Linked DNA regions of Arabidopsis thaliana. The protein of the gene in region 1 interacts with the protein of each later gene in a pairwise test. Each region holds a gene or a part of one and is shown in the gene's direction. Other genes may lie near its edges.

Region 1 (5,513 bases):
GACATTCGGAAATGTAAATAGAGTCATCAAACACAAAAGCTCGACAAAAAAGATTATAGAGGTTTTCACACTAGACGAGCTCAGAACAAACTGTGCCACACAAAGCAGTGATCAAATAAGAAGATATTTACATTCTGACAAAGCGGATAACGTAATAATGAATCATAAACAAATGATACGAAACCCGAAAGTATTTTGACTCACATCTTGATAAGCTTTAGCATCAGCAGTATCATCCATTAGTTTTTGAACATCATCAAGGTCCAATTCGCTTTGAATGGCCTTAATAGCACTATTACCCTGCTTTAAGCTCTCAAACACTGCCTTTTGTTTGCTCGTAAGTTCAATATCTGTTAACTGCGAGTTCACATGAAAGTTTGAGAAAGCCATAATTATGCATCAAAAGAGACGATGCCGGATACAAAACATACACACAAGGAGAAGGATTTACTTGTTGTTCAACATTGATGACCCATTGATCCACTTGCTTCAATAACTCTTCTTGAGTTCGTTTCTTCCTCAATGCTAACAAAGCTCTGTCCTTTCGCTTTTCACGGATTAAGTCTCTTGCAGCTTGCTTTTCCGCTTCAATTACTTTCTCAAGCTAAATTAGCAAAAAAAATGAGAAGATCGGTTAACAAAGAGATGAGCCAAAGAACTCAAAAGCTTGAGTCTTTCTTTTCCATCACACTACTAACAATCATAAGACACATATTGTGAAACGAATCAAATCCAATCTCCAATTAGGATTTTGGATGAATCAAAACTATATGATCTGGGTTCCAAAAGAAATTGTAACAAAAGAAAATTAAGATATAAGAAGAGAGAATAAAAAACCTTCTGCTGATATTGACCAAGCTTGCGTCTTTGGGTTTTGAGAGAGAGAATCGCTCGATCAACCTCCGTGATCTGTGGTTTCTTCACGAACAAATTCCCCATCTTTTCTTCACTTATCGAAACCAACGATTCGGAAAATCAAACGAGCAGAAGAAAATTTAGCAAGATTTGATCTTTTGACGAAATTGATTATTAGTCTCTAGATTTCCCAAAAATGTCGCCAATTTCAAACCAAAGTCCAATTTTTGTGTTTCTTCTCTCTTTCTGCTTTTCAGTACAAATATCTCAAAATAGAGGAAAAGCATGAACCGGACCGAAAAAATGTAAAAATCGATATCGAACCGATTTTAGTCGGTTTGATTTCATCCACACTGAAAAATAAAAAAATCGAAACCAAACAAAAATTCCTTGGATAGTACCGTAAACAAAATCAAGCTGAAATCGATAAGTAACCGAATAGACCAATGTATAATTCGGTCTCCCAATTTTGTTCAAGTTTATATCAAAACCAGAACAAACCGGTTGGCCACCTTTAACAAAATCTCGAACTCGCGTTTTCGATAGCGCGTGATTGCAAAACGCTATTGCAGCGTCACGACAAAAAAGGTTTGTTCGTTTATTAAACCGGCCGGTTTGGAATCATGAATTTGATTTGAATCCTTTTAGCTGGTTAACCGACGTCGTTTGAGTAAATGGATCCAAAGCCAGACAGATCCTAAATCTCGTCGACGACGGTGTCGGGACTGAAAGCAGAGAGAAAGCAAAGTAAGCTAGCTTAGCTAGGTCCAAGATCCAAGCTTTGGAATTTTGTAAATTGTCTCCACTCTTAGCCGGTGAGTCTCACTCTGTTCCGAATTATTCTTTGTGATATGGATTTCGATTTCCCATGATTCGATTTTGTACTTTTTGCTCTTCTCTTGAGTTTAAAGATGTACGAATGAATATATACAGATTCGATTTTATGTTCTGGTGGCTTTGATCGCTGAAATTTGAAAACTTTGTCTATGTTTCGATTGCTTGATACTCTTGTTTCACATGTTCATACTCTGGAATTGATTATAGATTAGTGTTTTTACAGTTTTAATGGAAACTGTTCCACCATCTCCCATTACATGGCCAGATGGGGGAGCTCTCACTAACGACTGGGTACATGGGCTTATGTCGTGTTTCGAATGGTCTTCATGGAATCTACCTCCTTCCCAGTTACCTTCACTATTGCCTGTCAACGTCTTTGATTCCCTCGTCCTCACCGCTCATAAAATCCTCCACAAAGAACGTAACTGCGTTCATATCGATGATCTTGACTCTGTATCCAACGTTGTTGTGGTTGGTGACATTCATGGTCAGCTTCATGACCTTCTTTTCCTATTGAAAGATACTGGCTTTCCTTGTCAAAACCGGTGTTATGTTTTCAACGGAGACTATGTGGATCGCGGTGCTTGGGGACTTGAAACCTTCCTTGTTCTCTTGTCCTGGAAGGTAAACTCTTTACTAAGCTGTTTTACTATTGGCTCAAGTCTTAGTATTCTTAAAGCACATATCTTTTTGGTTGTTTAGGTTTTGATGCCGGACAGAGTCTACCTACTCCGTGGTAATCATGAGTCAAAGTATTGTACATCTATGTATGGTTTCGAGAAGGAAGTGCTTACAAAATACGGAGACAAGGGAAAACATGTGTACCGGAAATGTTTGGGTTGCTTTGAAGGTCTTCCTTTGGCTTCCATAATTTCTGGACGTGTTTATACAGCACATGGAGGGCTTTTCCGCAGCCCAGTCTTGCCTAAGCGAACAACAAGGGGGAAAAAGAACCGTCGGGTAGTTCTTCTGGAACCTGAGCCGAGCTCAATGAAACTCGGTACCTTAGATGAGTTGATGCAAGCTCGAAGATCAGTTCTTGATCCTCCTTGGGAAGGTTCAAACTTGATACCAGGAGACGTTTTATGGTCTGATCCTTCAATGACTCCGGGCCTTTCACCAAATGAACAGAGAGGCATTGGTCTTCTTTGGGGTCCCGATTGTACAGAGGATTTTTTGAAGAAATATGAACTGAAGGTGACACCAAAGTAGATATTGATGCTTGTTTGCTTCCCAAATACTGATATGGATGATTGGATCAAATGTTTTACACTTATTGGTGCAGTTGATCATCAGATCACATGAAGGTCCAGATGCTAGAGAGAAGAGAACTGGTCTTGGTGGAATGGACAATGGATATACAATAGACCACAATGTCGAATCCGGAAAGCTTATCACTATTTTCAGTGCACCTGACTATCCGCAATTCCAAGTATGTATTTTTACGCCTTTGGTATTTGCATTTTCTAAAGATATGCGTTAACAATCATTTTTGTGTGTGGTGTAGGCAACAGAAGAGAGGTACAAAAACAAAGGAGCATATATTATTTTGCAGGCGCCTGATTTCTCGGATCCTCAATTTCATAGTTTCGAAGCTGTTAAACCGCGACCAAAGGTAACTAACTTACGATGCTGATAATGAACCAACGAGTTGTTTTACTTCTTTGATACACATACATAGCGACATCGGTTTTTAAATGTGCAGGCGCATCCATATTATGACTTTGAAAATGTCATTGATTCTGATGATGAGATGGATAAGTCAGCAATGGACACCAATAACGAACAACCAAATAGCTGACCGAAGCTGAAAAGGAGTATCTTGAATTGATGTTTTTTACAGTTGTTGTGATTGCTCATTATTTGCAAACATAAAATGGAATCAAATGTAAAGAAAAGAGATGAAGAAAATCATTTGTAGAATTCACATTTAAGTTATGTATGGAAGATGAAGAAATAAGAACCATCTTAAATCTCATGTAGTTCTTAGTTTCTTGGTTCCTACACGTCTTATTTAAACCTAAATCTTGTAAGATTTTGCTCTGTTTTGTCAGGTTAGCCTAAATCTTGAGAGGTCAAACTTGCAGTAACTTTCATTGTATAGAATTGCTTTTAACTGAATGATAAATCGAGTAGTAGATTAGTCCAATGGAAGTTTGTGGATCAAGTTATGTGTCTGTCGGCATTATAGTTTTCCTTTGAAATATTGACACATTACTAGAATCTTATCCAACAAAAAATTGTGTGGTTATGAAAATCCTAAGTAACGAGACAGCTTATTAAATGCCGAATTTGGTAGCAATTTGTTCAGATGAATGTATGTCTTCTTGTAAAAGACAGTATGAAGTGGAGGTTGATGCTAACTATCTTATGGTTCCTTATTGCACTTTGAAGCATTTATTGCAATTGTTTTCGGTTTTTTCTCTTGAGTGGGCTAAACTAATAATGGTCTGTTCTTTCTCTAAAGAGAGAAGAATTCGACAGGAGCGTGAAGCATCTTCATTCGCAAATATAACACATTAAAGCTACCTCTAGCATCATCTGTGTGATTCTCTCCAAGGTCATTCGTTGTCTGTCACGGGGCATCTCAAGTAATAAAGCTTAAAGTTAACTGTCTTTTCAGCCAAATAGTTTCATCATCTAAATATTCACATGATCTTCCATATTTCATCACCGATTATGGTTACAACATTTTTGCAAACCCTAAAATTTGTGTTATCGCCAAACTTGACCCTTATACCGGAACCCATGTGGGTGGGTGTTGATTTTTACTGTTTTGTAATTTGTTCATCGACAATCATTGACATGTACTCACCGCAATGTTTTTTCTTTCCTAGTTTCATGTGCATATATGTCTCTAAACAGTAATTGTTTAGCACTTCATGTCAAGCTTAAATTATTATAGGTGTCTTATCTTGTCTCTCTAGTATTTTCTGTTGAAGTCATGTGCATTAAATTGTATATAGTACTTCCAATGGCTTTCATATAATTTCCATTTTTCCACAAATTGTTCGTAATGATGTTTATTTAACAAGATTATAAAAGATAATGCAACAAATTTGTGTGATGAATGATGAGATGAACCCATTTGAAAGAGGTCGCAACAAATGTCAACATTAGAGACCATCTTGATCTAGAGTTTTGTCTCGTTGACTTTAATGCCAAAATTGGACAATACATATAATGCATGTATCAGGCAATGCAAAAATATCTTCATTCATTTAATTTTCTTACTATAATAGATGTCACAACTTCCCTCACTGACAAGCATATAATGTTGGTTTTATCTCAATGTAAACAACCTTTTAGTTTCACATAAATGTTAGGTCGAGCGAGGTGATATATTCGTTCCAGATCGGATGAAACAAGTAATTCATCGATGTTACCTTTATCCATATGTATATGTAAGATTATGGGTTTTAGGTAATCTAGTAAGTACTACTAAGTAGTATCCGTATGTAATTTTTTATTTATTTTTATCCGTTATGTATAATTTCTTTGGCCGTTTTCGCAAAATCTATATTTGGATGTTTTAGATCGTGAATTGATATATCTTAATTTGAATATTTAGGTATTCATATATTTTGAATCTATAGTTGACCTGTTGACCATGTATTTTGATTTGAATATCTCGCTCGATCGATAGAAGATTTTTTTTTGTTTTTGTTTTGTTGATAGTAGAATCTTCAAGTTGTAATTTAACAAAAAAAAAAAAAATCAAGTTGTAAGTAGACCGTATATCTGTATATTTCCATATGTAGAACCATGCATTTTGAATAATTGAATAAAATAACATGTAGCAAGACGTATCTTCATATGAT
Region 2 (4,841 bases), on another chromosome or scaffold:
TTCGATTCACGTCGGGTTCAATCCCCCGAACTATACACCCGGTTTCTTTTTTCGGTATGACATACCTATGTCTCCACTGCACGACGTCGTTCAGCGATATAACACTAAACGACGAGACATCTGAGCTAATTTAGTGAAACCACACGCAGTTTTTCTTTGCAAGCCTTAAACTTTTTCTTTCTTTCTTTCTGATACTGATACTGATAGTATTGAGAGACTGACTAAAAAGAAGAACTAGAATTACAAAGATAAAGTAACTGAAGGAGAAAATCTATTAATCAGCAGGCTCTTCAGGCTTCACAAAGAACTCTATATAAGCAATCCGACTCGGTGGCTGATACCCTGCGGATTCCACTTGTGGAGCTAAAGCTTTAGAAACTGAAACCAAGTGCTGAACTTTCAACATTCCTCCTCTTCCTATTGTTAGTTTGCTTCCCCTGTTTTCTCTCACTACGTTTCCCGGTATGTTTGCCGTTGTTGCTTTCAAAAACTTGTATTTGTACCTACAATCAACAATGAGAAGTTTAGCAAATGTATCTGGCTACTATTCTTGATTGGTAAATCAAGCGTAGGAGCGTGTGTTTTAACCATAAAGCTACGGTAGAGAAAGAATTGAGTTCATTGTTACCCGTAAGAGACTTCGGTATCACAATGAAAGGCAAGGAGAAGATCTGTGTTGGCATAATACATGAAGTCTATCTGCAAAGAGGATAGATCGAAATATGTTCCTTGATTCTTTCACATTAAGATAATATACATCACCAAGAAACAAGTGAGAAACAAGACCTGCAAGTCTCCATGTCCTTCTCCTCTAAAGATTACACAAGGGGGTTCCTTTTGAAGACTGATCTGTACACTTGAACCAGGCCATTCAAGATCATCTATTGCTTCCTTCAACGCCGCTGACTGATAGATACATTATCAATTACCATTTGAGAAAAAGCTCAGACTAACAATGTTAAACGAAAAACGATACTAAACTATGTTACTACCTTTACTGTAAAAGTAAGTGGCGCGATTCCCGCCTGCTCAAAGTTGTAGTCCCAAGTAACAGTTTCGGGAATTCTAGTTCTTATCTCAGAGTAGATGCAAGAGTTTAAGGTATCAACAGATCTAATCAAACACTCACACCAATCAGCTAATTACTCGTAATCCGTATATTCACAAAGCAAAGGATCATAGTACACATACTTGAGAAGAAGCTCCATATCAGGTCCTGGATACTTGATTTCTATAGTATTAGAATGTCCAGGTGATGAAAATGTGTTCAAGCAATCAACAAGAAGCCCTAAGCTGATTCCGAATCTCGGCCTACCTTGAGCTCCATACTCGTATTTCGTGAATAGCTACTCATATAACACATCAAACAGATTTCGGATTCAATCGAATTTTAGGGGTTTAGAAAATTTAAGATAAACTCAGAAATCGATACCTCGCGTTGAAGATAAACTTTGGCTTGAAGACAACCTGATTCTTCAACAATCAAAACTATTCCGTGTTCAGATAATTCTACTAAAGCATCCTGGAAACGGAGAAGTTTTCAGAAAATCAAAGAAGAACCCTAGATTGAATTTGGGGAGGATGGAGATAAAAACCTGGTGGCGTTTCCATCGGACGCAAGTGAGTGCATCGACCATTCCTTGAACATTATCGAGCTGGCAAATCAGGTCCGGTGTGTCTGGTTCAATCGCCGGCGACGAGGACGAACTCATTTCTCTCTCTCTCTCTCACTCTCCTTCCTCTGCTTTCCCGCCAGAAAATGTATGCCGACAATATAGCAATTAAATTGATTATTATTATATTTGTTTTAGCAGGCCCAGTTATTAATAAAGTTGATCTTTTTGGCCCACACACAAACTAAAAAGAAAAATAAAAGCCCATCTTTATGATATCGCGTTTATATCTGAGTCACAGAGAAATAAAAGGGTATGTTTGTAAATTTCAAATACTTCTCTTTCTTTATCCGTACGAAAATGGACGGTGTTACCGGCGGAGGAACGAATATCGGCGAGGCTGTGACGGCGCCACCACCGCGGAATCCGCATCCAGCGACTTTACTTAATGCGAACTCTTTACCGCCCCCTTTCCTTAGCAAGACGTATGACATGGTGGAAGATCCGGCGACGGACGCGATTGTCTCATGGAGTCCGACGAACAATAGCTTCATTGTTTGGGATCCACCGGAGTTTTCTCGTGATCTTCTACCTAAATACTTCAAACACAACAATTTCTCCAGCTTTGTTCGCCAGTTAAACACCTATGTAAGTATAAATTCTCTCGCGCCCTAATTTCTCCACCATTGATTTCTCTAATTGTACTGTGTATAGATTATGATTTCGTTGAATAATCTTAGTGCTTGATGTGTTTGATAAGATTTATATGATTCATGTGCCAATTTTGATGAACAGGGTTTTAGGAAAGTGGATCCAGATCGATGGGAATTTGCTAATGAAGGTTTCTTAAGAGGTCAAAAACATCTATTGAAGAAGATAAGCCGGAGAAAATCTGTTCAGGGACATGGTAGTAGTAGTAGTAATCCACAATCTCAGCAATTATCTCAGGGTCAAGGTTCAATGGCTGCATTATCTTCATGTGTTGAGGTTGGGAAATTTGGGTTAGAGGAAGAAGTTGAACAGCTTAAAAGAGACAAAAACGTGTTGATGCAGGAACTCGTTAAGTTACGCCAGCAGCAACAAACAACAGATAATAAACTTCAGGTTTTGGTTAAACATCTTCAGGTTATGGAGCAGAGGCAACAACAGATTATGTCTTTCCTTGCTAAAGCTGTACAGAATCCTACTTTCCTCTCTCAGTTTATACAGAAGCAGACTGATAGTAATATGCATGTAACCGAGGCCAATAAGAAGCGGAGACTCAGAGAGGATAGTACTGCTGCTACTGAGAGTAATAGTCATAGCCATAGCTTGGAAGCATCAGATGGACAGATAGTTAAGTATCAGCCACTTAGAAACGATTCAATGATGTGGAACATGATGAAAACAGATGATAAGTATCCGTTTCTTGACGGGTTCTCATCTCCAAACCAGGTATCAGGAGTCACTCTTCAAGAGGTACTACCCATAACTTCAGGACAGTCACAGGCATATGCATCTGTACCATCAGGACAGCCTTTATCATACTTACCCTCTACTTCAACTTCTCTCCCGGATACCATAATGCCAGAGACTTCCCAGATACCACAATTGACACGAGAGAGTATCAACGACTTCCCTACAGAAAACTTCATGGATACAGAGAAGAATGTTCCAGAGGCATTCATCTCTCCAAGCCCATTCCTTGATGGTGGTTCAGTCCCGATTCAGCTTGAGGGAATACCCGAAGACCCCGAGATTGATGAACTAATGAGTAACTTTGAATTCCTTGAAGAATATATGCCAGAAAGCCCAGTTTTTGGAGATGCAACTACACTAGAGAACAACAACAACAACAACAACAACAACAACAACAACAACAACAACAACAACAACAACAACACAAATGGTAGACATATGGATAAGCTTATAGAAGAATTGGGTCTTCTCACATCAGAAACAGAACACTAGTAAAGGATTATGTTTAGTATCCATTGTAAAGTCTTTCTCTACTAACATTATCGTTAGGACTCAGTAGTACGGTTGCAACTTTGTGCAGAAATCTTTCCTTGGATAATAGAAGAGTTGTATTTATTATTAAAAAGAAAATGCCATTTTTTCTAATTTATTGTAGAAAGTGACTACTTTGTCCAATCATATTTGTAGTCCTTTTTCGATAAGAAAAACAGAGTTGGAATTTTCCCGGGGAAGCTCTTTTCAATGGAGGTCCTTGCGAGCTCTTCATTATCCCCAATTTCTTTTACTAAGCCTAACAAAATAAACCCTAATTTCTCAATCCAGGTACTTTTCTTTCGTATAGTTGACTCCTTTTTAAGTTTCTCTCCTGCAATTCCCCAATTTGTGTCCGTTTAGCTGTGTAATAGAATTTTCAACCTTTGCAGGTGAAATTGTGGGTAAAACAACCTCCAAAGATTTCAAAAGCTAGCAAATTTAGTTATGCTCGTAGTCGTAGTAACATTTCAAGGAGCAATGCAGCAAACCCAGGAGTCGTGTTCGTCTGTAATAGATTTCTGTGTGTTATCGAAAGAAATGATCAGAGGAAATTATCTGGGAAGGTTATGATGAAATCTTCTGTTAATTTCAGACAGAATCTCTCTGTTGCATTAGTTCGGATCGTTTCTGTTCTGCTTGTCTCTTCCATTTCTGTTGTTACCACTGATTCACCACCATCATGTAAGTTCTGTTTTTTTTACATGTTGAGAAACCATATAAATTTCGGGGAATGCAATTTGATTTCATTTGTGTGGCTTTTTTTCTCTGTCTCTTTAGGGGGTCTTACTGAAGAGAATCTTCTCTTCCTCGAGGCTTGGAGAACAATTGATCGTGCTTATATTGATAAAACCTTTAATGGACAAAGCTGGTTTCGTTACAGAGAGACTGCTTTACGAAATGAGCCTATGAACACTCGAGAAGAGACATGTATGTGTGAATAGCTTTATTAACCTTTTACAAAATTAGTACAACTTGCTTCTAAATTTGGTGTTGGTTTGTGTTTAGACATGGCTATCAAGAAAATGGTGGCAACACTAGATGATCCTTTTACTCGATTCTTGGAGCCCGGAAAGTTCAAGAGTTTGCGGGTAAGATTTCCTGAAAATATACAGTTCTGAATTTAGCAAATAGACTGTATGTAAGATCTAGTAATTAAATGGTTTGGTTGAAGGCAGTCGGGGACTCAAGGGGCGGTTACGGGTGTTGGGCTGTCGATAGGTTACCCCACTGCATCAG

The links.
Region 2: the proteins of PP7 (region 1) and HSF1 interact in a two-hybrid assay, tested with the Arabidopsis thaliana proteins (one study listed by BioGRID).

What each region holds. Positions count from the first base shown.
Region 1 is NC_003076.8:25,559,316-25,564,828, reverse strand, and holds PP7 (serine/threonine phosphatase 7), read left to right. Parts: upstream 1-1,512; 5' UTR 1,513-1,670; intron 1,671-1,904; exon of another isoform or gene 1,905-1,915; 5' UTR 1,916-1,920; coding exon 1,921-2,316; intron 2,317-2,394; coding exon 2,395-2,889; coding exon of another isoform or gene 2,890-2,904; exon of another isoform or gene 2,905-2,977; coding exon 2,978-3,124; intron 3,125-3,199; coding exon 3,200-3,307; intron 3,308-3,397; coding exon 3,398-3,493; 3' UTR 3,494-3,759; downstream 3,760-5,513. Other genes in the region: VPS20.1 (SNF7 family protein), read right to left, coding at 1-70, 205-357, 452-604, 838-939. UniProt on the Arabidopsis thaliana protein: Phosphatase active on para-nitrophenylphosphate (pNPP) and on various phosphoproteins such as myelin basic protein.
Region 2 is NC_003075.7:9,868,691-9,873,531, reverse strand, and holds HSF1 (heat shock factor 1), read left to right. Parts: upstream 1-1,885; 5' UTR 1,886-1,928; coding exon 1,929-2,261; intron 2,262-2,408; coding exon 2,409-3,563; 3' UTR 3,564-3,714; downstream 3,715-4,841. Other genes in the region: AT4G17760 (PCNA domain-containing protein), read right to left, coding at 275-503, 629-699, 787-906, 993-1,113, 1,192-1,346, 1,433-1,522, 1,596-1,712; AT4G17740 (Peptidase S41 family protein), read left to right, coding at 3,813-3,893, 3,995-4,286, 4,383-4,532, 4,611-4,693, 4,781-4,841. UniProt on the Arabidopsis thaliana protein: Transcriptional activator that specifically binds DNA sequence 5'-AGAAnnTTCT-3' known as heat shock promoter elements (HSE).